2 linked regions of the Oreochromis niloticus genome follow. The protein of the gene in region 1 purifies or fractionates together with the protein of each later gene. This does not show direct contact. Links are inferred from orthologs where the notes say so. Each region holds a gene or a part of one and is shown on either strand. Other genes may lie near its edges. The genes, in order: vti1a and vamp4.

Evidence for each region.
Region 2: the proteins of vti1a (region 1) and vamp4 purify together in Homo sapiens (affinity purification with mass spectrometry; 4 studies listed by BioGRID and IntAct, counting the BioPlex papers as one, with this or other methods). This does not show direct contact. The link is inferred for Oreochromis niloticus from reciprocal best matches to the Homo sapiens genes VTI1A and VAMP4.

What each region holds. Positions count from the first base shown.
Region 1 is NC_031973.2:13,237,824-13,254,371, reverse strand, and holds the start of vti1a (vesicle transport through interaction with t-SNAREs homolog 1A), read right to left. Parts: upstream 7,842-16,548; 5' UTR 7,802-7,841; coding exon 7,708-7,801; intron 1-7,707. Other genes in the region: palmitoyltransferase ZDHHC6, read left to right, coding at 9,623-9,889, 10,005-10,096, 10,704-10,863, 10,974-11,132, 11,666-11,719, 11,998-12,165, 12,361-12,402, 13,001-13,149 and 2 more. UniProt on the Homo sapiens protein: V-SNARE that mediates vesicle transport pathways through interactions with t-SNAREs on the target membrane. These interactions are proposed to mediate aspects of the specificity of vesicle trafficking and to promote fusion of the lipid bilayers.
Region 2 is NC_031986.2:38,750,842-38,767,825, forward strand, and holds the start of vamp4 (vesicle-associated membrane protein 4), read left to right. Parts: upstream 1-10,557; 5' UTR 10,558-10,775; intron 10,776-11,466; 5' UTR 11,467-11,601; coding exon 11,602-11,604; intron 11,605-12,409; coding exon 12,410-12,511; intron 12,512-15,359; coding exon 15,360-15,406; intron 15,407-15,728; coding exon 15,729-15,779; intron 15,780-16,698; coding exon 16,699-16,799; intron 16,800-16,984. Other genes in the region: mettl13 (eEF1A lysine and N-terminal methyltransferase), read right to left, coding at 1-173, 266-734, 816-1,088, 2,336-2,488; itpa (inosine triphosphate pyrophosphatase), read left to right, coding at 2,735-2,797, 3,044-3,101, 3,196-3,260, 3,339-3,412, 3,504-3,535, 4,342-4,454, 4,535-4,611, 4,801-4,933; rangrf (ran guanine nucleotide release factor), read right to left, coding at 8,488-9,063. UniProt on the Homo sapiens protein: Involved in the pathway that functions to remove an inhibitor (probably synaptotagmin-4) of calcium-triggered exocytosis during the maturation of secretory granules.

The sequences.
Region 1 (16,548 bases):
GTATGAAAGGCATTTTAACTAAAATACAAACAAACAAACAAAAAAGTAAATCACAAGAATACCCAGCTGTGGGACTGCAATAAAAAAAAAAATTTACCAAAAAAAAGAGCTAAGCCAAGATCTTCGTTTCTCAGGTGCCATAGGCCAACATGGTCCTCAAATTCATTTTTAAAACCTGTGTCCAACCTTACAACCTATATAGTAAACAGCCAGAGGCAATTCAGTGAAAGATGAGATGACGCTTTCGTACTCAAGCTCAGGCCCGAGCTAGAGGGCTGTGAAATATGTATGGATATTTACCAAGACTAGAACCTGCTGACAGACGGATGAGGAGTTTTGTACACAGAAGTAAGGCAAAAAAAGAAAACAAAGGGCTTGGTATTTCTCTTTTACTTTTTTATGTTTCATATTTCAATGCCAGTGATTGACAAATAATCTCTTGCCATGAACACTCAAACGTGAAAACTTGGAGCCATGTTTAATAGAACAAGGATGTTGAGTCTTGTTCTGTTCATAGTATACTTATTCAAATTTCTTCTTGATGCCGAGTTTTGGAGCAATGTTGCAAATAAATAATATACAAAAATTAATGTATAAATATACTTTTTTAAAATAGTTTTGTGAACATCCAGGACATGTTTTCCACATGCCATGGCCATTGTTAACAACATAACATGCGAGTAAAAGTAATAAACTACAAGAACAACGTTATGGTCCCTTTTTAAAATATTAAACAGAGGGAATATCATGTGCAAAATGCATCCACTTGGGTAAGAAGAGCCAAAAGAACTTAAGAAAAACTTAATGAGTAGGAAGGGAATTGAAATTCAACTGTAAACTATTCCATTGGTGTCAGAAAACACACAACAACTACTTATGGTTGTAATGCATTTTCTAGCTTTGTACATATTCATACAGGCTTCCTCTGACACAGTCAACAGATGGTGAGAGGAAGCAATGAGAAATTACTCTGCGGAATGGGCTGCCATGAGTCTTCAAACATGCCAATTCCAAACCAGAAATATTCAGTCAAGCGAGGTTTTGTGAGAGCAGCGCCTTTGAAAACCCAATGAGCAAGTGTGAGCCGAGAGGAAGAGATAAAGCTTCCAAATATGAAAACTGAAAACTTAAAACAAACTACTAGTTAACACTCGCTGTAAGTAAGTAGTAACGGTTGCTACTACTCAGTTAGGTGTGGACACCAAAATTTTAATATGTAGTAGTTCAGCCTTAAATTAACTGTCATATCCACCTTTAGATATATATTTCCCACCATTTTAGCTTAGTGTAGCTGTAAACTAAAAACACCCAGTGTATTTCACACTGCAAAATACCATTTAATTTTGAAAAGTGACCGTAAAAATGGAAGAAGGTGCTGTGCAGAAAGGCTCTTGCACTGAGAAAAAAATATACAAACTCAATGACTATTTTGTCTCAGCTTATAACTGTGATTGGTATTGAGTAGTGTCAGATGACAGTGTAGCTGTTTATACATCCACCTAACAAGCAAACAATACGATTTGATCCCAGGAGGAGACATAAATCCCTGTGGGCTTCCATCAGGAAGGGAATCTGAGGTTTAAAAAAAATCTGCAATGTCAATAGTGGAGCTTTTTACTGTGGTGATCCCTTGTGAAATAACGGGGGCAACTGAAGCTCAAGTTTCTATTATGTGCTTTGTATTAAGTCATTTTAAATAAGGCAGTATTACCAATTGATATGTCTGCATTCATTTATGGGTATGTTAGGTGCCACGTACAAGTATTACATTTTTAAAGTGAAATCACAACTGGCGAACTAGCTCTGGCCTTTTCCATGTCGTCCATACTCATGTTTCCCTTCCAGCCTTAGCCAAATCCACAAGCTGCCCGTCTCTCAGCTGCCTGTCTAGTGAGACCATCTTGAAAGACTGCCACCAAAGCACTAATGCAGCAATCTGGTAAATCTGCATGTAGAAAAAACAAGATGGGAAGACCCAGAGCTAGATGGTTAACAGCATTTGTAGGTTTTAACCCACCTCTAAACCCTCTTTTGGTGCAGGTCTTCACAGTACAGAAATTTAAACATAAATACATTTTAAAGACTCCCTTCAAAGAAAAAAGTCAAAGTCATGCATTTGTGCCTAGATCCTGCAGAATATAAATTACAGTATCAAAAACACAGGCTCAGATAATCAGGATTTCATATGTCTGAAACCTACAGAACCAAGTATCAGAACTGGCGATCAGAAAGGAGGTTTATCTAAAATTAACAACATATTACTATCTGAAAATGTAGTTAAGTAGTGCGGTGCGATATTGCAGATTTTGGTATTGATCTGATACCAAGTAAATACAGGGCCAAAATTGCCAGTACCGATACTTTAAACCTACATAGGCAGCTTATGTTGGGGAAAGCAGTGACTCGTGACTTAAAAGATGGCTCATCATCAATTTGCAAATAGTGACCATTAACTCACTCTGATTTTTACTTTCCATAATAACTGGTTAACAAAACAAAATACACCTTACAGCGTTTCATGTTTTTTTCAAACTGCGTTTTTTTGAGACCTAGAATGTAAATGTGCCCGTCTCTAAAGGTCGTGTCAACTTCTGTTGTTTGACATTTTTCATAGTGTATGTTGGAGGTATATTTTTTCATTTCCAAAAAATTATTAAATTAAATTAATTAATTTAATACAATTCAGAGGGCTACATACTGAACTTAAGGGGATATTTTTAAAAGAAAAGTATCGATCTGAGTATCAATACCAGAATTGCTATCGATACTATCAATATTTGGATCAATCCGCCCCCTCTATAGTCAAGCCAAAGACTTATATTCTGTGCACACTTTTTATTTTAGCTCAGTTCAAAAGAGTCCAATTCAGTTTTGTTTCTCTCCTCTGCTGTCTGTTTCACTGTGTGTGCACGCATGTGTATGTCTCTTCTGCTTCTCCTCCGAAACTGATACACGCAGAGCAGAAGAGGGGAGAAATACTCGAAGTCGTTCCACAAACAGCAGTCTTAGTAGGTCTGAATGAGTAAAATTTACAAAAATTAACCAACTTCAAAAAGATTACCACTGTGCAGATGTCTCTCCAGCATCTTAAGTTGCCCAGCTCAAGAAGACATGACTATATAGGAGAATATCCTACAGTAATAAGGTGTTCTCCAGCTGCCCAAAGTTATCTCAAGGAAGTTTCAAAGCTACACCTTTATCAAAACTGTGGTCAGATATGTTAAAGAGGTTTCTATTGTACAAAACAAAATTAGAACATAATGCTTTTTCCACATTTCAACAGAATAATAATCCTCCTTAAACAACAAAGAGAGCTTTTGCATGCCTTAATGTTAAATTCTCACAACCAGACAAAGTTACAAAGACAGCCAGACATCACAAGCGACACTGTCACTGGTTTGCTACTGAAGTGTCGCTCAAGTGTTTATTTGCAACAAGCATATGATAGGTTGAAAAAAAAAAGATGGACGTCAGCTCAACTTTGATTTGATGCACATAAAGCATCAACAAGTGTCAGGCGTCAGTTTGTAGCTTCTTATCAGTGGTGTGAACACAGCATTAATTGCTGGAAGCACACATGGACCACACCAAAAATCCCTAAATACTTTTCATGTATGTTGAGCTTTCAGTTTCAATTCTATTACAGAATAAAATCTTTAAATAAAATTTTGTGATAAAGTTGATGAAGACAGAGTCAGATTTGCACTCCTACAGCATCAGAATCTATCAATGAGTGTTTCTAAAGTGAAGGAGTTGCGGGTCATACAAACGAAGAGGCAAAACAACTCTAAGGAGACGAGACCAGAAGCTACCAGCTAATACCTGTGTTTTCATTTTAAAGAATTCACAAAGTCACATTTGAAGAGCTACAATTTAATAACAATCTATTCTAAATATATCATTCAAAAAGTGTTACATGTGGCTTTGGTTATGTCTGAATTAAGTCTGATAGAATGACAGAATGCTATCACTTTAACAAACTGATGAAACCAGCAATGTCTTCTTCTTACAGCTGCTCGCTTTAAGGGTTGTCACAGCAGACCATCTGCTTCCACCTCATCCTATCATGTGCTCCTTCACTACATGCATGAATCTTTTCTGTGGTCTTCCTTTTTTCCTCCCTTTGTCCAATACATTCACTATCCCTGCTCTCCACATTTCCAAACCATCTCAGCCTTTTCTCTCCACCTTTGTATGCAAACTGCTCAATCCGAGCTGATGTACTCAATTCTAATCTAATCCATTCTGGCCACTCCCCCAAAAAATCTTAAAAACTTTCTGTCTTTTGTGGTTTTATTAATGATCTGTCTCCAAATCATACATCATAGCAGGTAGTGCTGGGCGATATGGAAAAAATATTTATCACGATATGAATTATTTTATATCACGATAACGATATATATCACGATATACCACCTGACCTGTGGTCATCTGGAAAGTATGCAGTCTGTAAACAGCGAGTGGAGAGGGTGCAGTCTTTGTTTTGAGTTACCGTAAAGCATGTCGCAAATCCGGGTGCATGTAAAGCAGCACCATGTCGCAAAACCACAAGACGGAGTTTCTTTGTGAAAAATATCATTTTTTTATACTTTATTTTCTCTTGCATAAAGTTAAGAGTATGTATAGTGAGAAGACAACACTAATATATTTGCCACAGGCTATTTAACCCTTTAAGACCTACCATGAGACCAAGTCCGCCAGAGCTTATCTTTACATTTTACATGCTGTAGTGCCATTTGTGGGAGCATTTCAAGTTGCTATACATCAATACAACCGTTATAGCCCAAATTTTAATGATATGTATGCATTAAGTCCATAGTAACTACATAAATTGCAAAAAAGTGCAATAAACTACAAAAAAATTGAAAATCTTTTTTTTTTTTTTTAACATGTATTTCTACTTAGAGAAATTTAAGAGGCTTATCCCTCAAAACTGTAAATACCAGAAAGTTGCACAAAATAGTTTCCAACCACGAGAAATTTATTTTGAGTGTCTTCATAGTTTTATTTTTGAGATACACTAATTTTTATATACTACAGGAAAAATGAAAATAAATATTATAATGCAAATTTGCAAAAAAACAGCTTGTGCATCAAAATAAACTATTTCCAACAGTGTAATTTGACTTCTAAGCATCCCGGAAACGATACAGAAAAGCATAAAGTCAAACATGACTTTTAAAAACACCAACGTAGGCTATAAAAAGTAAAAAAACTACATTTTCCGCGAAAATGACGTCACTTCCGGTTTCGGTCAGGTAATGGCGGACATGCGATAGTTCGCGCTGACAAATATATTCCAACTAGGAAGTGTTATGAACAGCTGATCGGATCGGCAAAGCGTGTTTCCGGAATATTGTTTTTGTTGCTGCAAGTCTGGAATATTATGTTTTTGTTGCTGGAAGTGCTTTTTATGCAATTTTTGCAAAGCTATATGTGGAAGGAAACCGTGACCTAGGGCAAGCTAATGGAATAACATGTAAGTACAACTCCTACGGTTTCATATGCAAAAAAAAATTATTGCGCTACCTTACGTGGTTCCAGTTCTACAGGGATTTAAAAATAGTTAGGCAAAACGGAGTGTGCCTGTTCCGACCGGTTGTAAAGGGTTAATGATATATTTTATGTAATAATTTATGAAATTAGGGTTAGAAACGACAGAAACGATAGAAGACAAATGGCACGATAGAAACTTTTCTATCGTCCACACGATATATATCGTCATATCGCACAGCACTAATAGCAGGTCTCAATACCTTCTCTTTCCTTTTACTCTTGCTGTTGTCCATCTATCACAAATAAACCCTGACACTATTCCACCTCTCCTGTACTCCTTTCTTAACTTTTCTTGTGCACTGTGCATTGCTTTTATTTAAACTCATCCATCTTAACTGTTACATCTGTCTCCCTCTTATTCACACACGTATTCTCTCTTGTCTATTGACTTTCACTCCTCTTCTTTCTAGTGCATACCTCAACTTCAGGACCTCTTATACCTGCTCCCTACTGTAACTGCAGGTCAAAATGTCATCTGCGAACATGAAAGTCCACAGAGGCTCCTGCCTGACTTCATCTATCAACCTGTCCATTATCACTGCAAACAAGAAGGAACTCAGACCTGATGCTTGATGTAATCCCACCTCAAACCCATCTGTAACTCCTACTATGGACCTCACGCTAGGGCTGCTCAATTAATCAAATTTTAATCTAGATTACGATCTGGGCTTTCAACGATCATTAAAAATGACTGAGCCGATTATTAGCACCTCCCTCGTGCTTTACTCTCGCGCTGCTCCGTGTGGCAAATCGAGCACACCTCTCTGCGTTTCAAACACGTGTCACAACAATTAAGAAGACCCGAGGGAAGCTCGGAAAGCTAAGCAGAAGTTATTTGGAGAGGAGAGGATAACGGCTGCTGAAGAAAGAATGCCGTTGGTTGAAAAGAGAGGTAAAACGACTTCAGTGGTGTGGAAACATTATGGGTTCGCGGAGTCAGACGTGGATCAAATATTGTGCAGTTTTTTGAAGTTCACTAAACATAGATGTTTACATTTTTCATTTATTTTTTATATTGCAAACATTTGCACTAATCAGTATTTGCACACTATTTTATACTATTTTTTGACAATCTTTAAAGCCATTATTCAATACATTGTTATTGTTAAATAAATATCGTCAAATAATCAAGATCTCAATTTCAGTGAAAATAATCGTGATTATCATTTTTGCCATAATTGAGCAGCCCTACCTCATGCACTGTCCTTATTTTGCACCTTTGTGCAGGACAGCACGCACGGATGAACCAGAGTACACCATCTACAGCTGCATCCAGGACTGTGTTCTGAAGATCAATGAGAACATTTTTGAAACTCCTAACCTTTTGCTGGAAAAGCCGTCCACTGAAGGTTACATTGCTCTAATCCAAGTACCTTCAGTGACTGCTGTTGTGATTTAACGCTATATAAATAAAAGTGAATGGAATGTGAAGAGCTAAATAAATAGTCAACCAAAGACACGCTTTTAAATATTTTTTAAGTCAATACCAGGAAAAAGTTATTAGTCCATCATATTAGTTACTAGGCCCTTGCTAACATATTAAGAAACGTATGCTTTCAAACTTGCTGGTATCAAAAGGCTGAATTATTTTTAAACTGGCTAAAACTGAAATCCACAGTAAAACTAAAAACTACACTCACCAAAAGTGTCACTGAAAGCTGCTGTGATATCAGTGCCATTCCAAAACTTAACTTTTCCAATGATGGTTGTCCACAAAAACATCCATAGGTTTTTCTTTATGGTAAGTATTGGCAAGAATCTCATACACTGAATCTCATACACTAAATCACTATGATAACACTAAAAGATTACTTCAGTTGAATAGTTTCAATTAATATTAACCTACTCATTAAAGTGATTTGAAGCTTCTATCCTCTTCTGAACACCATAAACAGAGTTAGGATGTTCTTTAACACTATTTTCACACCGGCTAAACCGATCAAAGACATACCAAGATAAGAAGACGGCCACATATACATGACACATTCTTTTTATATAACAAGAACTCTTTACATATAGCTGTGTTTCACCACTAGTTTGACCAATATTTGGATGAAATCACATTATCGCTACCGTTAGCTGCCTTGTCAGCTGAGACTAGAGCTAGCAAGCCAGATGAGGTTTAACAGCTTATAAATGTAACTCTCTTACCTCCACTTAGTTTGGGAATTCGGCCAATTTTATTAGTTATTTCTGCTGTAATTGTTCCAAAGTCCTGCTCGTATGCTTCAAAGTCTGAAGACATTCTGGTAGTCGAGTTTACAACAGGTAAGTAGCTTTCTGGTTGACAGTTAGCTCGGAATAACAACAAGCCTCGAATGGAGCTTCTTCCTTGAGTCACAGCATAATGTGCTCGGTAAGGAACTTGACTTTGTTTTCACGTTTTCGACACTGAAAAAGGTTCGAAAGGTGGACAGAAAATGCTATTAATTTCAGCCCGAATTTGAATGCATGAATAATTCTTGTAGTTCTGTGCCGTTTCGGTGATAGACTACTACTTGGATTAAAAGGTATCTACAAGTGGTTCAGGGTAGTAGTTTCTGAGACACCATGAGGAAGGTTCCTCACTGTACACAGGAAAATTTTATGAAAAAAAAATAAGGAAGTGACCAGGTTGGTGATTTAAAGTGACAGCCTTTTGTTTCTATTTATTAAAAACAAAGCATTTGTCATTTAGGTTATCTTTGTTTTCTATTTGCCCCTCGTGGTAAGTGTTCAGCATGCTACGTTATTAGTGTTTATGCTGGTGACTAGGCTAGCTATCTAACGATAACTGCTCAACCCACGGTGCTAACGGAAACACAATTTTAGAGCTAAAGGCATAAACTTATCACTTGTCTGTTTGTTTTTTTAAAGCGGAGTTGTCTAACGCATAGTTTTCTGTCCATTACTGTGCAGTGATGGATAGAAGACTTGCATATAAATCGTAATTATTTTTCTTTTTTTGGCGAGAATTAGCTAGCTTGGTAACACAAGCTAATTAGTCAATGAAGCAAATGCTATGGTTCTGCTTTTAGTATGGTAATTTAATACTAATACAAATCCAGCACTGTCTACGTTAGTGTGGCATGTTTTATTGCCGTTTCTGTACTTGCTTTTAAGTCATTAGCTAAAAATGTTAGTCATGGTTGTTCAGTATTTTTATTGCAACTACCGAGGAGTTGTTTCTTTTTTTAAAGCATGAATAACATCTTTTTCAATAGCAGTATGATCTAAATTGTGTTGTGAAAGAGTATTTTGCACATTTGTCACATTTACATGTTTCAGATAATCAAACAAATCTTAACATTAGACAAAGATAACACGAGTAAATGCAAAATGCAGTTTTTAAAGGATAATTTCATTTATTAATGGGGGGAGGGGGTATCCAAACCTACGTAGCCCTGTATGAAAAGGTAATTGCCCTCTAAACCTAATAAGTGGTTGTGTCAACCTTGACAGCAAGAACTGTAGTCAAGCATTTGTTATAACTGTCAATCCGTCTTTCACGTTGATGTGGAGCAATTTCCGTCCACTCTTTTTTTGCATAATTGTTCTGATTTAGCCACATTGAAGGTTTTTTGAGCATGTTTAAGATCATGCCAAAGCATCTCAATCGGATTAAAGTCCAGAATTTGACTTGGCAACTCCAAAAATGTTATTTTGGTTTATTTTTAACCATTCAGAGGTAGACTTGCAGGTGTGTGTCATGTCATTGTCCTGCTGCATAACCCAGGTGGGCTTGAGCTTCAGGACTCAAACTGAAGGTTGGACATTCTCCTTCGGGATTTTCTTTCAGATAGCAGAATTCAGATGGGAAACTTGAGTCCATCACAAAGACCGTGTGCTTCAGGGATTGACAAGAGAGGATGCTGCTCTCTGCCAGGACAAGAAATCGTGGGACACAGAAAACGCCAGTAGCTCAAGACTGGGCCTGTTCCTGGATACTCCGAGGACGAGAAAAAATATGTGCATCACCTCTACCCGTGACTTTGGGAGATAGCAGAGGAAAACACTAAAACATCGACATTTGAAATTTCTGGAGTCAAGCAGCCAAAATACTAGAACTAAACTAGCACTGAAAAAAATGAACTTCCTGTCAACCTTTGTGACCTTTAAGAACCTCCATGAGGTTCGGAGATTGTGCCACTGGGGTCCAATCATAGCCTTGTCTGTCATTGCTATATGCTCCACAATGGCAATTCTAGACTCCATTATCTGGTACTGGCCTCTAGACACTACAGGGGGGAGCATTAACTTCATCATGCTCATCAACTGGACTGTCCTCATACTTTACAACTACTTCAATGCTATGTTTGTTGGACCTGGATACATTCCTCTTGGCTGGAAACCAGTAAGGATAAATTCATATATTTATTTTTTTTAGCACACAAACATTAGCAAGCATGAACTTATTTAAATGTCGTAAATCCATATATTATCTGACACATGTGTCTATGCTGAAACAGGAAAATCAGCAGGACACCCAGTACCTACAGTACTGCAGAGGGTGTCAAGGCTACAAGGCTCCCAGGTCCCACCACTGTCGAAAGTGTAACAGGTATTTACATTTATTCCCAAAAAAACTTGATGTTTAAGCACACTCACAATGGTTAACCTGTACAAAATAGTGTGGCAGTGAATGAGAAGAGAGCTCCTCCTTTAGTTGCTGACTAAAAAGGCTTTGGGGAGTGGCAAAAAAATTCTTTGTAATGGAAAAAGACTGACTTGTGACCAAAGAAATTGGCTCAGGAACGAGGCACCACGACTCCAAAATACTGAGCTATTGGCAGCACACCAAACTACTATTGCAGAAGAAATTCATCCCTTAAGTGCCTGTTATTTCCTCTCATGCAAGTATCACTCCATTAGAGTGCTCCATACCTTAGAGCACATCATTAGTGATTATCTATTGATGTGACATGTCTGTTTTTGCAGTTGTATGGTGATTGAGGGGCGATCGTAGCTTGTAGCTTGCCATCACCAGTGTGTGAATGTGTGCGTGAATGGGTGGATGACTGGATGTGTAAAGCGCTTTGGGGTCCTTAGGGACTAGTAAAAGCGCTATACAAATACAGGCCATTTACCATTTACCATTGAAAAATGAGCTTTGACCGCAGATTATTACTCTTATGTCCTGTTACTCCTCCTCGTCTCCATTCCTTCAGGTGCGTGATGAAAATGGACCACCACTGCCCCTGGATCAACAACTGCTGTGGCCACTTGAACCACGCCTACTTCACCAGCTTCCTGCTCCTAGCTCCACTGGGTTGCTCACACGCTGCCGTTATCTTCATTATGACTATGTACACACAGCTGTATGAGAGGGTGAGCTGTCACCTTAGCTCGCCCCACCAAGCTTTTGATGTCCTGTTATCACAGTTCTAGGCCGAACCCCCACCAGGCTAATAAAGCTGTTTCCTCTTTCCTCACTGCAGATATCATTCGGCTGGAGTACTGTAAGGATTGACATGAGTGCTGTGCGTCAATTTCAGCCCCTCATGCCCTTCAGTGTGCCTGCCTTCGCTGCTACACTCTTTGCCTTAGGTTTGGCACTTGGCACCACTATTGCCGTTGGTATGCTTTTCGTTATACAGGTGAGTTTTTCTTAAGTTTTGCAAACTTAACAAGCTTTTGGTTAAAAAAAAAGAGACATTTGTCTGATTATTTACTCATAATCCTACAAAGCCACATTACATCTTGCAAGCCATGTTTTCACTTCAAGACAAGAGCAGTTTGGAAAGCATCTGGTGAAGATCTGACCAGAGAGCATATTCTGGCGTGTGTAGGCGTATCAGAAGTAAAACTGTGTTATAATTCTACAAATGCATGGATCCATACGCCTACCTATTTATTTGCAAATAATGTAACAAAAATGGTTAACATAACATAAAGGGAGAAAGAAAGACAGTCCATAGCATAAAAAAGATAAACTAAATAGCTGTAATAAATGGATGGTACCTGAAATTTCTCAAGCAAGAAAGAGTGAAACCGATTTTATAAGTTTAAAGCTTGAACATGTGTAGTATATATCCAGCTCCAATCAATACTCCAATAACAAAGCAGTTTATTTAAGGAAATATAGGCTGAGAGATTGCTGACTCTGATAATGAATGTCTGTCCTTTTCAGATGAAAGTCATCCTTCGAAATAAGACTTCAATCGAGTCGTGGATAGAGGAAAAGGTCAGAATGTCTCTGCTTGAATTCCCGTGACTTTGATTCCTGATAACATTTTGAGATATCAGTGTCTTTTTCTCTTGATTCACAAACGGTAATCTGGGATGTTAATGTGATTTTTATATTCACGCAATACTGAGGGATTTAAAAGTAGTTTGTTTTGTTTTGCATTTGATCATTGCAGTACTTCATATTTAAAAATGACCGAGACACACATGTTATAGTACCCTATGACAGTACTAGAAAATGTGTTTTCTTGGTTTGCTTGTCTTTCTTTTTAATAGGCCAAAGACAGAATACAGCACTACCAAACAGGGGAGGAGTTCATCTTCCCTTACGACCTCGGCAGCCGCTGGCTGAATTTTAAACAAGTCTTCACGTGGTCAGGGACACCCAGAGGCGATGGCATTGTATGGCCAGTCCATCCCAAGTGTCACCAGCACACCTTAACTGTAGGTTGAGTTGAGTAATGTAGACATTGCTGATTGTGTTTTGTTTGTTACTGTTCTGTCATAAAATTAGAAAAAACATGTTTTTGTTTGTTTAACATCCTATAACTCCATAGATTCAGTGAGGACTCATTAGACATTTCTTATAAAAGTTCAGTTTATAGATAATGTTTGTACCTGTTATTTCTCCTTACACAGATTGAGCAACTGAAACAGAAAGCTGATAAACGAGTGAGAAGTGTAAGTAACCACCAGATGCATTCTGTGTGCAAGGACAAGATTTGATTGTGTCTGAAATGTTTGTGAGATCTGCTTGCCAGTGTATTATTCTCCATTCATACTATTATCCATTAACCTTTGTGTTGTGTTTCTATCACCAGAGAAAGTTAAAGAATAAATACTTTTCCACTAAATCAAAATGTGATAAGACTGTAGTTTTAAATGCACATAACTGTCAAGTGTTCTTAGGGGTTTATTTATGATTGCATGAATTTGGCTTATGCAGTGTGTGCAACAAGCAAAACATACAGGTCAAGAAGAGTGTATTTTCATGCTGAAGTACTAGGGATTGATACTAAATAAACACTTAGGATCATATTTATAATCATATCATGTCAGGAAACTGATGAGCTACATCTTAGCTTGTAACAATGCAATACACCATAGAGAATGAAATTAACAAATACCTTTCATATAGTGTAGATCTTATAATCAGTACTGTGAAATTTGTCAGATGTTTTAATGCACTAAAATTAAAGACTTTTTACACATACATAATTAACTTTTAACTGACGTTCAGGGCAGTAGAATAACCATGTATCATATTTGCCTTGACCAGCAGGTCCAGTACCGGGCAGTAGAGGATTATAATGGAGCTTGCTGCCCTCTCAGCAAGGGTTTACAAACTTTTTTTAGAACCCCCTGCACCGAGGAGCCCAGGATCCCTCTCTGCAAGGGGGATACCATTCTGGCTACTCGTGGTACCAAGTAAGTTTGTCTGCACAGAACTACTGTTTCCTGTTTGGTGTTTGATTTTGAGTGTGGTCCATTTGGGTCTGAGTGACAGATTCCACAGCTTGATCATAAATAGACCACATCATTTACAGTCACTCCTCCCAAGCAGATCCTAGCAGTCAGCCAGTTGCTAATTTCGTTCCACTTGCAACCTTGGTTTTCCGAGTGCATTATGGAAAAACTGGGATTAACACAGAAGTCAAACAGGTTTTGACCTGTAAATGCCTCTCCTCCAGCTGCTGATTCATAGTACACCACATACCTTAGTGCAGCCTTTAAGGGGTGAACCTGGCCCCACAGGCTAATAAGGTTTATAGGTATTTGATGAGTAATTTTTTTTAAACTGTAATTTATCCCTTTAGATGGTGGATGTATGGAGATAAAGTTTTGAGTGAGGAGGAAGTGAGAGGTAAGGAATTATTGTCCCGTTGAATTTTCAAAATCACTGTAACAAAGTGTTTTTAAAGTCACTGTAACAAATGTGGAACTTTCTGTTTCTTTTGGCATTAAGCTGGAGAGCGTGTAAGAGGATGGTTTCCAAGACGATGTGTGGAGAAGTGCCATTATGACACAGCAGCAAGTGATGCCACCAGTGATAAAAAAGTTAATTAATACATGTCAACGGGCTTGATGCATTAAACTGAGCAGAACACGTCTCTCAATGTTTATGAGCATCCACTGAAGATGTCATGCCCAATCCTGCAGGTTTACCATCATAAATTTCAAATTTTCGATTTCTTGCACATTTCAGTGCCAACTTATATTTCTAAGTAGTTTTTTGAGTCTGACTGAGCACTTTTTATTTGTGGAGAAGTCATTAGAGGAACTGGTCCCGTAGGCTCAGTTTGACTCCTCTGACCAAAAATTAAACTCAACAACCGTCTTAATGTCCAAGAGTTGCCACCAGACTATGGTGTAACTTTGTTATGACTAAACTTTTTACTTGAACCTGTTATTTTTCATTTGTGTTGGTATTTCTTTTTTGCTACTTATGCAAAGCCTCTGCCCACCAAACTTGAGGGCATCATCATGCAACTCTTTCTACCTTACAGAAACATTTCATTTTCTTTTTTTTCTTTTTTTTATTATTTTTGTAAAAGTAAATTGTTGGCCTCAAAATATAATTTGAAACATAAAGAAAGATATCCCTCAAGAGTGTTTGTCTCATTCTTTGTAATAGATTCTCTTGTTTGTTAATTTTTTAAGACATCTTGAGCTTGTAAAAAGTGCTAAGTTCACATTTGATAAATTGTACATAATTAAACCTGCCACTTCAGTCAAACATTTGTATAATTCGTTTAATAGGAACAATTTACATCAAAGTTAGTTCTGCAGTTTATAACTGAATAAGTTGAATGTTTTATTTTTCATTATAATATTAAATTTATTGACAACTTCTGCCTCATTTTTTTTAAGGTGACCAAAGGAAACTAAGCAATGAAAATAATTAAAAATACTGGTTTTGCCAAAAGTTAAACTAACTAATGACAAATTGGTCTATTAGAGGTGGAACATGGGTGCGTCGGCACACTTCATTAACAGGCAAATTTCAGTCTAAATATTTGTATTCTTGTTTCTGTATCTGTTGTGCTTAATCTAACTTTTATGTTGTTTGTTTAGCATTTCATATAAATATTACATTAAAATTGATAGTATTTGCTATTATGTAACAACTACATATTACATAAATTAAAACAGCATGACTTCATAGTAGAAGAGGGCATGCTGCTGGCCTGTCTGCAGTCCAAACCTTTCATCAGTAGAAATATCTGGAATATCATGAAACTAAAAATATGACAAGGAAGACCCAGGACTGTTGAACAGTTAAATTACCATATCAGTGTGGGAAAGAAACTTGACAGTATTTCCCTTTGAGATGCAACCCTTGAGTAAATGTATTAAGTTACTTTCCACACTGTTTAATACAATATATTACATCCACAGAATATGTTACTACTGTTTATAGCAAACTAAAGCTCAACTAAAAAGTAAAATTAGGTTTAAACAAAAGACAAATTCAAACTAAATTTCTGGGGGGGGGGGGAATGAAACCCAAACAATAATATAATCTAGTTACAAGACTAAGATAAAATAAAGTCTTTTTCACTTTGGTCACATTTGGCATTCAAATCCTCCCTTTGTATTTGAGTATGTGAGACGGGACACCTTCACAAACTGTTGCCTTTGTATTCTTATACTTACTTTAAGATTCTTATATCTTGACTCTGATTTTAGGGTTTTATGATGATAATTTAAAAAGACCAAAAGTGACACTTGAGATAATAAAAACAGAACAAAAACAAAACCAACCAATAAAAAAACTAAAACGAGGAAATCAATTGAAAATGTAATAAATATTAAAACATTTAAAAAGCAATTTTTAAATATATATATATTTTTAGTAATTATTTAATTAAATAAATATGAAAATTTAAAATAAAAATAAAATATATTTTATAATAAATTTAAAATAAATAAATACCTAAAGCAGTGAAATACCTTCAATTTTTTAGAGTTCACGGCTGAAAAAAAATCGTTGCCTTGGTCACTTGACCGTGGCTTCCTTTCAACGACTCTGTAGCCTTTCATCCAATCCAGTGCCCAGGAGCTATCACGTGACTACAAAACCCTGTTCACGTGCGAGTGACTTCCACTAGTGGGTTCTTAGCAGTTTGCACAGGACTGAACGGGATGAGGCAGCTTCTCGCTTAAAAGTGACAGGTAAACGAGCTCTCCAGTAAATATGCGTGCACCTCCACATCAGTACGGCTCGACTCTGACGCTCTTCACGGCGCTTTAGATCTGCTACATACAGGTAAGCTGCTGTTAGACGGTCAGCCAAACTGTCAGTTGGGAACGATTTTTTTTTTTTTTTTTTTTTTTTTTTTTTGCTCTAGCTGCATGTACAGGCCGTACCAAACGTCTGGAACAACATAGTTTCTATTGCGATATCTTAGGATCGTGAGGAGTATGATTGCAACACTATAGCAGCCAGTGCTGCTATAGTGTTGCATCTAGCTAGCTAGCTTCGAACACAGATAAGTTAATCACAAGTCCAACTATATATACAGATGGAAACTAGCTCAGACAGTTGCTGTGGCCAGCTCGCTGCAGTCACAGTGGCTTAACATTGAACAACTTTAACCCATTAGTGGGTCACAAATGACCCGGTCAGGATGTTTTCTTGCAATATCTAATTAATGACAAGTTGTTTGCATTTCATGTTCCAGCTATTCCTCAAAAACATGTTTTTAATGTCATGCCATTTACATTTTTAACTTACCTTTTAAACATTTTTACAAAATTGTCATTGTTGTATTACTACACCAAACTTCCATAAGTGGTAAGAAGATTATTTTTCACAGCAAGAAT
Region 2 (16,984 bases), on another chromosome or scaffold:
AGCCAAGTCCATCACCACTGGTGAGAGTTCTGACTGGACAGCTTGCATGTCTGTGTACTCCTGATTCCTGTGCATTGATACAATAACCAAGCGTCGAAAGTTAGCACTGGCTGCTAGCTGCCTCCGCCCCTCACCAGAGCTGTAGAGCCAGGCTGTCTCACTCCCCTGAGGAACTGACAAAACAAACAACAAACATAATCAAAGGACTCAATACACCCAATTATATTAGAAGGCAGAAACTTGATGAATTAAAGCCTGGGCTCACCAATAAATACAGCAAACTGGTTAGCTCTTGGAACCTTAGCACCTGGTGGAGAATCTTGTATTGTAAGAGTGTATCTGGGAAGGCCGGTCTTTGCATGGCAGAGCGTGAGCGACAGGTTTGAGTTGGCATCAGTGTTCGTCCGGAGCCTCTTTCTCAAGACGGAGTAAGCCTGATGCTCCCTCACAGCTGACAACAGTTCAGAAACATGCGTGTGACGGACAGGGGCTCCATCCTCTCCGAGGCACATCTCAAGAATGGGTGTGGGCATAGGCTGACGGAACTTGGTGCAAACCAGAACAAAAACAGGCAGAGCAAACGAGTCTTCCTCTGTCCTGTTTTCTTCCTGCAGGCAGTGGAGCCTCACTGCCCAGCCGAGCTGAACAAAATGCTCCACAGCCAACTTGATCACGCTCTCCTGAGCCAGTGTCACACAGACATAACGACCCCCAACACTTAGCACACGACCCACCTGGAAACACAAGAAAACTACACTGAAGTTCATGCAGAGATGTATATTGATGATGCACAGCCTGATCAACCTGCTTCTCACCTCTGTGAGCATGTTCCTGGCCAAAGCTCCTTCTTCTTCAGATGCCATAGCATCTAAGGTGCCCTTGTCCAGAGCAGCCTGATAGCTTGCATCCTCATATGGAGTTTTAGTAGCATCCACCTGATGGAAGGTAAGGCCTGGCCTGCGCTCAGCATTTCGCTGGTTCATGTTGTTGACCACAGTCTCACTAATGTCTATATTGGTCAGATGCTTGTAGCCAACATCATACATCTGTTCACTCAGCTCAGAGTTACCACAACCAACCACCAGCACCTGAAGGACAGAAATAAAGCTAGTGGTCACTTATCAAGGCAGGAAATGTGCCAATGCACAATCAGTGTTAGCAACACCCACGTATGTAAACATTTCAGGAGGTGAATGATTTGGTAAACTTTTCTTCTTCACTCAGCTTTTCTCCTTAGGGATCATCACAGCAGAGGATCGGCCTCCATTTCACCCAGTCCCTCACATCCTCCTATGTCCACTTTCACTACATCCATGAACTTTCTCTGAGGTCATTCTCCCTTCTTCCTGTCTGACAGCTCCATATTCAGCATTCTTTGTCCAATATATCCACCATCTCTTCTCTGTAAAGGTCCAAACCCTCTCATTCTTGCCTCTCTGACTTTGTCTCCAAACTGCTTGACCTGAGTTTTTCCTCTGATACACTCAACTCCTCAACTCTTCCACCTCCAGCTCAGCCTCCTGTCTTTTTGTTAGTGCCACTGTCTTCAGATAGCAGGTCTCAGTACCATCTTGTAAACCTTCACTTTCACTCTTGCTTTCATACTTTTGTTACAAATTACCCTGAAAATTGTCTCCACATTCCCTTTTCTTCTTCACCTCTCTTGTGGACTGTTCATTGCCCCCAACTTTTTAAACTTGCTACCTCTGCTCCTCTTCATTGTTACACCTATCTCCCTCTCACTCACAAACATGTATTCTGTCTCGTTTCACTGACTTTCTTCGCTCGTCTATCCAGAGAATACTGCATCTCTCAAGGCTCCCTCCCGTCTGCATCCCTACTCTCACCACAGGTTATGTGTCTGTCTGTCATGTGCAGAAATTCCTGCCCGACATCAATGGTCAATCTATTCATCACCACAGAAAACAAGAAGGGCCTCAAAATAGATCCCCGATCTAATCCCACCCCCACCTCCAACCAATCTGTCACTCCTACCGGACACCTCATATATGTCTACATTACCCTAAAATACTTCTCCTGACTTCCTCACATAGTACCACAGTTCCTTTCTTGGCTCCCTATCATATGCTTTCTCTAAAGACACAGTGCTACTCCTTCAGACCTTCTCTATATTTCTCCATTAAAACACTCAAAACAAACATTGCCTCTGTAGTGTTCTTTCTCTTTCTGATCTTTTGGCATATCAGCTCTCTGTAGTTACTGCAGCTCTGCATATCACCGTTGCTCTTGAAATCACCTGGCAAACTAAATTTCTTAATGCAGTATTAAAACAAATAGTGAGTGTTGCGCCAAACCCCTTCGTCACCCACTTTACCTTATCTTGCATTTTGATGTATTTGTGCAGCACACCGCACAGTTTGTTGTAGTCTCCATACCATTCAAAAGCCTTCTCCCCTCTCTTCTTAAAAAACTTCTCCCAGTACTCAGCAGAGCTGAACTCCTCGGCGGTGCGAGGTAAAAGACTCATGGTCGGCTGCGATGGTTCAAAACGTTGCAGATTTTACCGTCACTGAACCTACAGCCACTTCTCCACATGGCACTTGGCTCTGATTTCCACCCGGACAACATTGCTTGCAGTACCGCTTGCTGATTGGTGGAGTGCCCCTACAGACTTAATGATGATTGGCTGAGGCTCTCAGATTTACTGTTATTGGTCGCTGCATATGTGGAAGTGCTCGGTTCGTTGTTGTTAGTCATCCGGGTTCAATTCATCATGGCGGTACCCGCTGGAAGGTCTGTGGTTTTCGTGACAGGGAACGCAAAAAAACTTGAAGAAGTAAGAAACAAATACTTCATACCTGAGGTGGATTGTATGTTTACGGCCGGAGTGGCCTTTCTAATCCGTTCCAGGAAGAATATGTGTTCATTTAACGGTCCTTTTCATGCTGCATGTTGTGCTGGCTAGTTAAAGTGAGATTGAGACTGGAGCAGTAACCAAATCCAGAAATCCCTTGTTTCGTTTGCCACAAAAAGGCCTTACTTTTTTTTTTTTTGCTTCGTCTGCTTGTTTGTGATCCGTCAGGTCATTCAGATCCTGGGCGACAAGTTTCCCTACAAACTAGTGGCGAAAAAGATCGACTGTGAGTATCAAAAGTAACACCACTGGCTAAAGAAAAATAAATACATAGATAAAAATTATGTGGTCATTGCTCTTGCAAAATTTTCTTTATGCAGTGCCTGAATACCAGGGAGAGCCAGATGAGATCTCCATACAGAAGTGTAAGGAGGCTGCACGACAGGTACAATATAAAACCACTGCCATATCACGTATTAATTAAAGACAGTGTGTTAAACGCCTTTTTCCCCTTTAAATTCAGATTGATGGACCAGTCATAGTAGAGGACACCTGTCTATGTTTCAGAGCTTTGGGGGGATTACCTGGTCCTTACATGTAAGTAAACTATCTAAAGTATGTATTCAATTATATCATCTTACATAGTGATAGTGAGCGTCAGTTTAAAAACAAATATTTGTTTTCATAGTAAATGGTTCCTGGAAAAACTCAAACCAGAAGGTAAGTAATGAAATAAATGCTATCTAGAATGTGTTGTTTAAACACACTTATGCAGAGCTTGATGGATGCTTGATAATCAAGTTAGGAAATCCCAGAAAGTTGATTTAGGTCATTTTGGCAGATTGCTTTCAATTGGAGAAACCTGTCATCCCTTATCCAGACGACTTCTCTGCAGGCTCCCAAACCTTATAGACAGTACGGTTGCATAAAGATCAGCACCATTGCTTAACAATGAGTCATGTGCCAATTAGAATTGTCTTCAGAAAATTGCTGGCTAGGTATGTAGCACGGAAGTGTTACCTGAACAGGCCAGAACTCGGCAGTCTACACCTACAAGCCAGAGGCCAATCTTTTGATGAAGATGTGCAGATCCTGGACAGGAATGAATGAAGGTTTGAGCGGGGAGGGCATTGATATAAAAATAGAGGCTCCCTTCCTCAGTTCTAATAGTACATCTCTCACCATCTTACAATGCCGTGATTGGAGCCATTCCCCGGTTCTTTGTTAGTAGTACTCATGGCCATTCATATTTGCATATCCGCAGTCATCAACTGATTGTGTGGCTCATTCTTATGCAAGCACCTTAATAGTTAAATTTTAAAATCTGTTTATAAACCTGCAGTCAGTTGATACTGAAGAAGTCGCACGGTTACTTCACATAAACCAAATCAACATTCTGGGATTATGCAGAGCTTCTTTAGAAAAACTAGTGTTGACTTTTGAGTTGTGTGTTTTTTTTTTTTTTTTTTTGTTTTTTTTTTGTTTTTTGTTTTTTTTTTTATTATTATTTTTAAAATACGTTTTAGGTTTGTACAAACTTCTAGCTGGATTTGAGGATAAATCTGCATGGGCTCTCTGCACTTTTGCGTTCTCTGCTGGGAAAGATGAACCCATTCAGCTCTTCAGAGGGAAAACAGAGGTCAGTCTGTCTCTGTAAATCTGTCCTGGTGTTTGTGCTTTTGTGAGTGTATTTTGTATTGACTCCTGTGGTATTTTCAGGGGTGCATTGTAGAACCCAGGGGGCCTCGAGACTTTGGCTGGGATCCCTGTTTCCAGCCAGATGGATATGACAAAACGTAAGCAAAACCATTTCCCCTTTTCAACCAACAAGGGGAGCCAGAGGTTAACACACTGCCTCTGCATTATCAACCATACAAATCCTTTTTGCTTCATGTGGTGCACTTGGGATAAAGTATTACTGTTATTATTTAAAATTTGTATCAAATAATAATTTTCACAAGTAATTTTTTTTCACTTTTCTGCAGCTATGCTGAACTGCCCAAAGAAGTTAAAAATTCAATCTCCCACCGGTACCGGGCGCTTGCTGCCATGTCTGAGTATTTCTCTCAAACCAACAATACCTCACCACAGACCAAGAAGAAAAAGGAGGAAGATTAAAGATAACTTTTGCTCCAACTTCAGGCTTTGAAGTTGCAGTATTATGCATCAAATATAAAGGGAGAAAATATTCCTTAATACGAAACTGTTTGTTAGCCCAGAAAAATATAAAAGATAAAACATTTTTGATGCGTACCCGTAGTCTCTTAAGCAGGCAAAGTGCTGCGTAATATCTGTTTTCTCTTATTTTTTAATAAATGTTTTTGAACAAATCCACCCGTCTATGTGAACATTTCTCTTTGAATATTACCTCTTGGATACTCTGAGACAACCTTCTGAGTTTTTGCTTCCAAGGACTGACAAAGATAGACTGAGGAAGAGCATAATTCATGAAAAACAGGAGCTCCAGGGTCCTGATGAGAGCAGCAGACTCCTCTGTGGCTGAGACTGGCTCCTAGATTTGGGGAGTGAGACACAGGGCTTGAGTCCAGAGAGGGGAGGGTCCCTGAAGGGGAGAGCGGGGTGTTCAGTACAAACACCACAGTGATAACAGAGAATCTTGGGTTATAAATGGCCCATGAGCTGAAAGCCTCCAAGCAGGAACTATGCATACACCTGTGACTAATATCTCCCACATGTATTGAATCAGTGATGCATGCTTCCACAGCAGTAGAAGCATGTGTCAGTGCTGCTCCTACTGTTACCAAATGTTTAATCACTTTAATCAACACACTAAATGCCGTGTTTGTTACACTTGTGTATTGTTCTCACTTATCTTTCCTGCATGAAGGACTGTACACTGTAACGTTTTCCCATGTAGTTAATGACATTGATAATCGGTAAAAGTGACAGTTTCATAAATAAAAGTGCAAACACAGGACCACCCTGTTTCTCTAGACCTCTAACTCTAATTTGGGATTTGAAGTAGAAGGTTGCAAAAAAAAAAAGAACATGGGAGCTGTTTTTTTTTCTCTTCAAGGACACTTTACCAGTTTTTCCCAGAATATGAAGTCTGCCTGCCAGGCTTCAGGTTACTAGAGGTAAAAGACAAAACAATTACTGTGAGTGCTGAAGCATTAATCGAAGCCGAAATGCCTGTGTGACTGTTGGATCATTTGAAAGGTATCATTAGGGCATGATACCTAAATTTCAATACACTATCCAAGCCCACTAACAGGAACGATATTCATGTTTTTAATATGATACAGTTTTTGGCTGATAATGTGTTATGTGGTCCCTGGGACATATTTATGTAGATTTCTATGTAAGTGTCTTCATCCTCATATTTAGAAATCTGACAATATATTTCATTCACTCCACTTTACTTACTTTAGTACTACTTGCAGCTCATTTTTCTTGCCTTTTTTTTTTTTGTACTAAAGAGTGTCTGCAGCACTTTAAAAAAATCTGTTTCCAAGAAAAAGAGGTCTACTCTTGGTACCATCCAAACTATAGAGTTTCTGAATTTTCTTAAACGCAACTTTAGGTTTAAAGTTTTTGGAAACCGTTTAAAAAAAACTGTAATACAGATACTGATTTCTGGAATAGGAAAAATAGTTGTTTTTTTTAAATTTGTGACTATATTTCAGTTTCCTCTACCATGGCAGAAACAGACAATGGTTCTTTTGTTTGAAACTCTCACTCATGTGTATACGACAAGCATTACAAGTGAAAAACCTGGAGACTATAGAACGTGCCCAGGAGCCAGTCAGTAATAGGCGTTTTTCCAGGCACTGAAAGTCCATGGTAGCTGGAAAAGCGTCTCCTGACACGACCTGCAAATCGAATACCTTTCCCCAAAGCCCTCATGGGGAAACACAGGATGTTTTCATTCTTTATTACAAACAGAACCAACACAATGCTTATCCAAGGAAACTTGCTGTTCTAATAAGAGAGTATGCTTTGGTTAATGAAGGAATGTGCTGCTCAAGGATCCTGCGAGGAAAGGACGCCTGACTTTACGAGATTCTTAATCAGTCGTGGTTGTGCCAGAGGAGGAGGATGGCTTGATGTGGCACTGGGGAGACAGACTTTACTTCATTTTTATTTGTTATGCACGACTTACCTGAATTCTCCTGCTGTGATGAGTTTTATTTAACAGCAGATTTAAGTTAAAAATATTTTTTTGTTCCTACAATAACACGTGTACCTGGAAAAGGCTTTGATTATACACCACATGACTTACAATGCTGACATCTAAAAAAATCTGACTCCAGAAGGACATTTAATAGAGGCCATTTTCCACTCTATAAATTTGGTTTCACCAAACTCACTCTTGAATGAAGTGTCCTCAAGGGATTTTAGGGTTCAGACTAATGAATTAATCCACCATGAGGCCACTGGTGTGCACGATGGAAACAGTTGACCTAATACATATTCCTGCTGGGACTGGTCCTCTCCGTTTTCACTGTTTATGACGAAACCATGAAGCTCTCTGTGGAGGCACAGAGGGCTCCATGAATATTTCCTGTATTTAACTTCTCCAGAGGGATGTTGGGATCTAATTTCAGCCATAATCTTCTGACTTGTACACTGACTTTTGGCTACTACTTTTATCACCACTGTACTGTAAAAACAGCCAGTATAAAGAGCATATCAGAATCTGGGTGTTACAAACTTAAAATCAAGTAGTCCTAAGGGGAAGATTGTGATTTATACATAATAATAAGGTATTTCTCTTCGTTAGTCATTTCTAATTTACTTGTGTTTTGTCTGAAACAGGTCTCTCTTGTAAATGAGACACTGAGTCTCAATAGGACTACCTGTATAAATAAAGTTTAAATAAATTAAAATAAATAAGTCTCCATAAAACATGCTTAAGTACAACGGCAGTGTTTTGGAGTAAAATACAGAGAGAATGAGACAAGTAATTCCAGATATGCATAATAAAGTCATTAATTTTTTCAACAGTTAATAGTTTTGTTTCAGTCCTTAAATTAAAGTTGATTTTGAAACGTTATCACCTTGTAAACATTTCAAGACCCAATTGTACCTTTACGTAGAAAGGAAATATCTTCAAATGAATGATAATTTGCTCATATTAATCCAATATGTGAGATTTAATACAGACTATAGTGGCATGGTATACACCAATCATTTGAACTTTAAATAAAACTAAACAACAGTGGGAGCCTTCTTGTCATATTTGGTTTGCAGTTTTTAAATAGAACAAAGCATAACAGGGACTCCTGTGTTTCAGGGAAGAAGCATGACTGCTGCTCTCTGAAAACTTTATTTGCATGAAAACATACACCTGACTATATCTCAGCCCTAAAAAGCATTGACGCCATGCACAAAATGTTCTTAAAATATGTAATTAACTACTGAACTGATTGAGAGATTTAAAAAAGTTTAACTATGAGGTTATTCTACAAAGCATTTTCCCCCACATAGCGCTTTTTAAAAGATAGCAACCGCATTATGTACGGGGGAAAGGTGGCTTTAAATAAAGGGTCTATTCCACTGGGGAGATGTGTTGTATGACATTTGATGCAAACGGAATAAGCTCAGAATTTAAAAAATATAGTCTATAACCAGTCTGCTTTTTAAAAATGTTGTTAATGTCCCACAGGGAGAGAGACCGAGAGACACCATATCATAAAAGTGGACTTGCTCTACCCGAAGAGCCCAGGGTTATGCAGAGTCAGAGTCTGTACGAGGCGCTGGAAGTCCTTCACCATCCAGGGCTGTTGGTGTGTCCCCACTGCACAGGCACTGCTGCTCTCAGGGCTGATACTCTGCGGGTCATTAAATGTGATGAGGACATCTGTGGAGAACTGCGGCAGACGGAACAGGCCCAAGTGGATGGTCACTGAATTCCTTGCTTCTTCATTGAACTTAGAGACGGACTGAGTCCCAGTCAGCATCCACGCAGTGCTGCACTCTGACAGGGACAGCTCAGATTTGGGCAGAGTCACAACACTAGTCACTTCAAAAGCCCCCGGCTCCAGAGCTTTGTTGCTTCCCGCGATGTCCTCAAAGTGGTACCTGGCTGCATCCTGGTCTGCCACCTGACCCTGGTACTCCACCAACTCGACGATCAGGCTCTGGTCTGTGTGGGCGTGGGCAAACACCTCCTGGTTGTCCGGGATTTCTCTCAACTCGCTGATATCTGTGGCGCTGTGAGGGATCACAGCTGACAGGGCTCCTCCAAACAGAGGATGAGCCTCGTTAGCTGCTGCACTCTGCATTTCTCTGTGAAGCCTGTAAACAGAAAGAAACACCACAGGTGAGACCGTCTCCACCCACATAAACACCACCTACTTAACAAAAATTGTAAAGGAAAAAACAGAAGCTTTGGTGAAGTTGCTGAACACATCTGCAGCTCACCAGCTCACCTCCCACTGCACGGTCAATGTGGTTCCGGTGAAAACTTAATCTTCTTCTTCTTGTTGCGTGTGTTTTTTTTTTTTTGCCATTATAACAAACACGCTGCTGCCACCTACAGGTGTGGCAGACCTCGACAGAAACGATTTCGCAGAATAAACTTAAAAATTATAAATCTAAAGTTTCTGATTTAGTTTTCAAGCTCATAACATACATAGCAAAAAAAGAAAACAAAGAAAAGAAATATATAAGTAGGTTTAATTCGAACATTTAAATGCTGAATGTCCAAATGACGTACATGGACGTTCAACAAAACAAAGTTCCCAATATATTATTCATCTACATAAAAGTAACACAAATTTTGTGCTCAAAAAGGACAAGTATAAACTTATATGATCCCACTCCTGCTTTCTGTTTCATAGCAAGATTCACCTTTCTTTCAAATGACCTGGAAATGACACAATGACACAAATGACAAATGACAAATATAAACAAAAGACTCCCTTAACGAGGTAAAAAGCTGGATAAATCTAACATTAAACCAAAAATTAAAAAAACAAGAATAAAAGACAATAATTTCATGTAATATCTTTAAAGATGTTAAATACATCCATTAATTTTTTTTTTTGTTGCAAACCATGAATTGATTAGGTTCATTAATAATCAACACCCATTGTACCTTTAAAAAGATGTTGGATACATTAATTATGTTTGGTCTCATTTGGATTTGTGGGAAAGAAACGATTCAGTCTTTTCCTTTATGAGTAAAAATAACGTATTCTTTGTTCGAAAATGTTAAGTTGTCAGTGTTATCAGCTCAACATTTTTAAGCAACCCAAATGTTATAAAGAAGAAAGCATGTAATGTACAGAAAGAGCGGAAGAATCTGTCTATTTATAGATCAGCTAAAACTTATTTTACCGTATTTATTAGAAAAAACTAGTGGTAATATCCTTGGTACAATTCTCTGTCTCAGCACTGGCGATTGTTTGTAATAAATAGTGTAAAGGCACCATAAATACATTGGTAAAATTAATTGTTTCTTTGAAGAGACCAGATTTTTCTTCTTTCTAAACATATATTACTTTGAACTTCTTGTATAGATAAGGTGGAAGAAGACATTTTAATAAACAATGAAATCCTCATAAACACTGTAAAAACACGCACTCCTGTGACAAAAGTCAAAGCAGTCTACTTATTACACTGAAAATTGGTTTATCATTATTATTATTGTTATTATTATATTTTATATATTTCTGTGTAGAAGTGGAATATTTACTGCATAAAAGAACGTAAGGTAAAACATTTTCCGCAGGCCGTAAAACATCTGCAGCAATTTCTCCTCCTCCTCCTCCAGCTGTTTGTGTTGATTTCCTGGTCAGCTGATTCAGACCGAGCAAAGATAGGAAGAGGAGAGCTGGCATCCACAATGATCATCGTGTTTCATGGTCATTGATAGCATTTGAGATGAATCAAACAGATCCGTAAAGTCGCATTAAGCCTTCGTGTTAATTTCTGAGTTTCTGTGTGGAGGAGTTTACCGGCTTCGAGCGGCGGATCCTGTGGAAAACAGCAGGTAGCCGCGTTAGCATCCTTAGCTTAGCTTAGCTTGGTAGCTAAGCGGCCTGTCTGATACGGGTAAAATAATAAAGAAGAGTGTAACTAAGCTGTAGTAGCTTTTAAATTGTTTTTCGTATTGTGGAGTTGAAACTTCATTGTTAATTAGGTTGACAGGAATATTATTTTCTAAGATTTAGGCTGTCAAACAGCTCGACCTGCTAAAGTTGTTGACGGCTGTGATATAATGTTAATTAGCTTATGAGATTGTGAGCTTGTGTGTTCAGTTTTACTCCTTTGCTAAACTGAGGGATCCTTAAAGCTATTACTTTACTTGTAATAGAAAAAAGGGGGGAAATCGGCCGCAGATAGCCAAGCTTTACTCATTTGGTATTCCTCTCTTGATAGAAATTGATTGTGGGATTGATTTTTCATTCTTCTTCTGTTTGCTTAAAGTTGCAATCAATGAATTGATTAGGGTAATTAATAATCAACAGCCAACATTAAGCAATTTCCACAGGTCTTTTGTTCCAGTGTGAAACCAAGCCTTTCCTTTATGTAATAAATCACTGCTTTTCTTTCTGTTTTTCAGTTTTTTACCTTTAAAATTGACTCTTGAAATAGACGTCTTCCTGCTTTCCTGCCTGAGCCTTAACATGTTACGTAGATGTAACTCTGGCTTCTTTCTCTTCACACTATTCCTGCTTCAGATCTGTCCCCTGCCTCTCTTCTCTGTTTACTGGAAAGCTCTTCTCCTCTTCTGACCGCTGAAAGGCCCAGTTTTCCAGCTGCAGTGCCAGAAAAGGAATCTGAGAAAGCCACTGTGTCAGAACTAGCTGGATTCAATGGTATAAGTTGTATTGTTGGTTTAACAGAGACTCTGTGTGTGTGTGTTTGTGATTATATTACCACTGAGGGCCACATGTTGTTTAGTTCAGTGTCACAGAGGCCCTTTAATGAAGCATCTGTGTGTGTTTTGTCTTGCTCTTTGGAGCATGAAACACCCAAACACAGACTCCAGGGTGCATAATTGGAAGAACAGCATGTTTTCCATTTCCGTGTTACATGGAGAGCAATGATGACATTTCCTTTCATATCTAGTGAGACTCAACACCTGCTCCACCAGAAGGATTTGGATTTAAAACAGCTTCATAAGATATCTGTTTTTGGACTGTTTTAAAAAATATTATGTTTCTTGTATATGAGAAGCTGGAAACTCAATATCTGATCCAACATCACATCCAATTACTTTGGGGACTGGAAAAATCAGTTATCTTGAGCTACACTCTTGAGATTCCTAAACCTGATACAGTAAAGAGGCTATGTAAAGTAAAATAGCTCAGATGAATAAAATAGAATACAGATGTCTTACATTAAAGTGGCTCAATATATCCAGAACAATAAGAGTGTAGTGAACAGTGAAATAAAGTAGCTAAACAAATAGAGTTGTATTGCTGGGCCGTGAATTCACATTTAGTCATTTATAATGTTTAGATTCTCAGTATGTTTGTAAACTCTGCATGTGGTTATGTCTGTAACTCCTTTCCTCTTACCAATACTGGAATCTTCTCAATTCAGGTATCTAACTCTGTTTTAAGTTCTCCCACAGTGTGGTAAAGCTTCATTGATGACTTTTCTTCTCCTGCCCTACAGAGGGAGCCAGACCGGGAGGAGCAGCCTGAAGACAACATGCCACCGAAGTTTAAACGACACCTCAACGACGATGAGGTCACGGGATCGATTCGCAGCGAGAGGGTGAGACACAAATAGACATGGAGGAGCTGGTGTTTGGCGTTTGGGTTTGTAACAAATTGCATGCGCAGTTAGAGAAGCAAAGTAGGACATGTAGTATATTTTCTAAACCACTTATACCATTCATGGTTGGAGAGAGATGGAGCCTGTTCCTTCAGATGTTGGGCAAGAGGGTACTGGACATGCTGGACTTCTATCTCATAGGGTAACACATTACTTTTACTGTGGATTGACTGTGGATCCCATCCTGAGCGAGGAAAAAGCCCTGTATCAGATGTAGAAAGTTTATTTGTCAGATTAGTCATAATGGAAAAGCAACAAAAATAAGGGGAGCGAACCAAAACAACTTTTTTTTTAAGGGGTGAAGCTTTAGAAACTGCTATGGCCAAATGTCTGGTCCTCATCAGGTTGATCATCCCGTCCCACGCACCTCAACCTCCCCTGTCCTCCTCCTTATTCTTTATTGTGTTCATTCCTCTCTTTCCTCTGTGTCATCCTGTTTGCTGTTGTGTTGAGCTGAGATCAAAGCAAAGCTTACCGGGAGGCTTGCATAACAAAATAACCTCCCATGCTTTTCCTTCAGTGCCCGGCCTCCTGTCTTACAATAATTGCTAACAGTTTCCTTCACGTCTGCTGTCTCGAATGGAAAGAAAGAAAGAAGTTTGTACAGAAGGAGATTGTTAGTGCCTTAACTTATAAAGTATTTTATGATCTTATGGCCACCATTCCCACAGATTTTTTGCAGATGCCATTTTATTTACAGGAGAATAAATTGTATTGGCCCGACATTGACTGGCAGAATTGACACTACAGTGCATCCATAGGTGTCGCAGTTATTAGAAGGTGAATGCCATGGCTGAAAGAATTGAGATTTTAACCTTCGTTACTGCTAAGGTAATGAAATTCAAATGTAATTGATCTTTCTCATAAAAATTTCACACTGTTGGGTTTTAATATCGATTACCTTTCTTGTGTAGTCTCTAGTAGCAGTGGATAAAGTCCACCTGCCTTCAGTCCAATAAGAAACAGACTCGTTCTCTTCTCCTGTGAGAATTTAATGCAGCTGTCCTCACTTATTCTTTATAATTAGCAATTTACACCAGAGTGCTTTTTGCCCTGATTAAAGCCAGCAGTCGTTCAGACTTTTCATCACTGCAGTGATTTTGTGGCATAATTCGCCGTAAGATGCCAGACAGGTTGTCCCATCCCTTTTCTTTTTTTCTTTTTTTTTTATCTGATCTGTACAGTTTTATGTTGGCTTCTCAGCATACTGATTGTCCATCCATTCATCCATTTTCTTCCACTTATCCGCCACCGGTTTGCTGGGGTAGCAGCCTAAGCAGAGACACCCAAACCTCCCTCTCCCTATCCTAGTCCTCCGGCTTATCCAGGGGAACACTAAGGTATTCCCTGGCTATCTGAGAGATATAATCTCTTCAGTGTGTCCCTGGTCTACCCTGTGGCCTCCTTCGGGCAGGACATGTCTGGAAAATCTCACACAGGAGGCATCACAACCACTTCAACTGGCTCCTTTTGATGTGAAGGAGTAGCGTCTGTACTCCGAGCCCCTCTTGAATGACCGCACTCTTCACCCTGTCTATAAAGGAGAGGCCAGCCACCCTTTAGAGAAAGCTTACTTCTGCCGCTTGAATTCACACTCTCATTCTTTTAGTCACTGTCTAAAGAGCATGACCGTAGGTGAGGGTAGTGATATAGCATACTGATCGTCCTGCCCTGAAATACTTTCACTCCAGTGCTTATGTAATGTAGTGGCTGCTCTCACACATCACATTCTTAGATCAACAGACTTGAATTTTTATTGCTGCACACTGTGACGACTGCCCACCTGGCCAGTAATAACAAGGCATCCAGTCTGCACCAGGCTGGAAAACAAAATCTGGGGAAAAGTTAATAGTGTGCCTGAATTCAGCCAGTCATGCAACACAAGCTTGGGTTTCTATTGAGCCTGTCTTAGAAATAAGACAAGAAAACACATCAGGTGTCTGTTTTCGTAGTCACATAGCTCTTTGTAGGTAGGCAGTGTGTTTACAAACAACTTATTAGTATATTGGTTATGTGTTCCTCCAGTTATTATGCATTATTTTAGTGGTGCCCTTATTTTGGGGCATCACTAACAACCTCTACTTAGAACAGATAAAGGAGTTTTTATTGGGCTTTGGACAACAGAGATTCAGCTTTTGTTCTGCTGTTCATTCATCATACAACAGCCTGATATTGGAGCCCTTTGTAACTTTGACCGGTTGTAGCATGGATCCTGTGGAACTTGATTTTTGGAGGGTAGGGCCTGCATTAGTCAGACTTGTTGTTGTATTCCTTGAGCTGTTCCTGAGTGATTTTTTTGCAGTGTGCTAGGGATTATTGTCCTGCAGGGGGCTGCTATGGGGTTGCGCTTTTTTGGCATCAGTGTTTAGGCAGGGTGTTAAGGTGTGAAAGTAACATGTTGATTAATTGCCAGGACCTAAGGTTTCCTAGCAAACAACTGCTTTTTAACAAGCTGATCAGTTTGACTGTATTTAGACCATCTGTTAATGGTTTTAATGTTTTGGCTAATCGAAGCACTGGGCTAATGTTGTATTCACTGTATTGACCTTCGAAGGATAGTAAGCCAAAGGCTGTCATTGATCCCTAAAGCAGCGTTTTGGCCTTTTGATGGATATAGTACGTCCAGTTTCTTGAGTTCTCATCACCAGGACTACTTGTCAGCAATCTGCTCAGGCTTTAATGTTGGTAATAGACTAGTGCTCTGACCAAGTCCCTCCTTATCCAAAATAGATATCAGGCAGGCAATAGTCCCAACTTCTGTGAACTCTGACCTTTTTCTCTTTTACAGAGGAATTTGTTGGAGGAAGACTCTGATGAGGAGGAAGACTTCTTTCTGTGAGTGTTTGTTAATGAATTTAATAATAATACATTAGATATTTAAAATTAAGTTGCATTTCAAACAGTAGAGCCTTAATTTGCTCAGATGAATCAGGCTGTGAAGATGTTATGTTTTTCTGACATATACTGACCAGGTTTTAGAGCATAGAGAAAACAACCAACCACCAAATTGAGAAAGTTTAATAGCCAGTCTAAAGTTGTAGCCAGTCTATGGGAGTAATATCGATAATATTGATTGTTAGAGCATAGTACACTAACTAATCAGCACAATTCATGGTTGTAGTCTGTACATTTGACTTCATCCATGCTTGTTTTTCAGGAGAGGGCCAACAGGACCCAGGTTTGGACCTCAGAATGACAAAATCAAGCAGTAAGTACAAACACATACCTCATTACAACAAAGAATCAGAGGTCAGAGTAGTATTTCCATTACTGGTTTTGGTATTGGTGTTATGTAACTATGGTTCGTAATGTTTACCAAAAGCTGCTGGTTATTACCAGATTGTGTAAGAGAGCCCATCGTGTGCAGGTTATTGTGTAACCTTCTCAGGATGTCTCAGTCCCTCTGCAGACTAACAGAGAACAGAGGAGGTCATTGTTGAGACCGTCTGGCACTCTGACTTGTTTCTCCACACTCCATTCATACTTTATAGTTTGTTATTGTTGTGAGCATATGAAACTAGATGCCATAGCTGCACATTTGACGAATGTTAAATTCACGGGGCTCTTGAACCTTAACCGCTGTGGTCACTGTAGTTGTTTATGTGTCGTGATGGCAGCTCATACTTCTTTTATGTCTTTCTAATTGTTTGTTTTGCTCTGGCTTATGACTGTATACCACCTTCAGCATGCAATCAAGCTGATAGCCAAGACTGATAATTTACTGCAGAGCTTTTGTTTGAAACAGTCAGTTTGATTGTGAGTGAGAGCAGACAGTTGTTATAGAGAGAAATTCCACAGTTTTATATCATTATTTTTCCTCACTCATGAGTTTCTTTGCCAACTTCTTCCCGCTTGTTAACCATTCAGGCCTCCAAGTGGTATTACTCTAAGATAAGGGTGACCTAAGGGTAATCTGAACTACTCATAGCATACTCAGTTATGAGTAGTATAAATAAAGGATTTGAACTTTGCTGCAGATACCTAACAGGTGCAGACAGGTCACGCTGAGGCTGAAGGACATCTGTCATGCTTTTCATTGTCTGCCAGCTGGACAAGGCCAGACATAGAGAATCTTTGTACTGTACCAAAATAAGACCGGTCCTACCGTTGTGATTCTGTGTCCTCAGGGTGCAGTCGCAGGTCGACGAGGTGATCGACGTGATGCAGGAGAACATCTCCAAGGTGATAGAGAGGGGCGAGCGACTCGATGACCTGCAGGACAAGTCAGGTGAGACACACGAGCCGCCACATGTGCATATTTACCAGACATGTGTGCACTACTCAAGCATGAAAGGCAGGAAATACCATTACTATTATTGTTTTAAGATTTCGTTTCCAGAAAGACCCTACAGACTTATTTTATTTTGGGTTACTTAGGTATTTAGTAAAGCTTTCTGCTATGTGCATCAAATT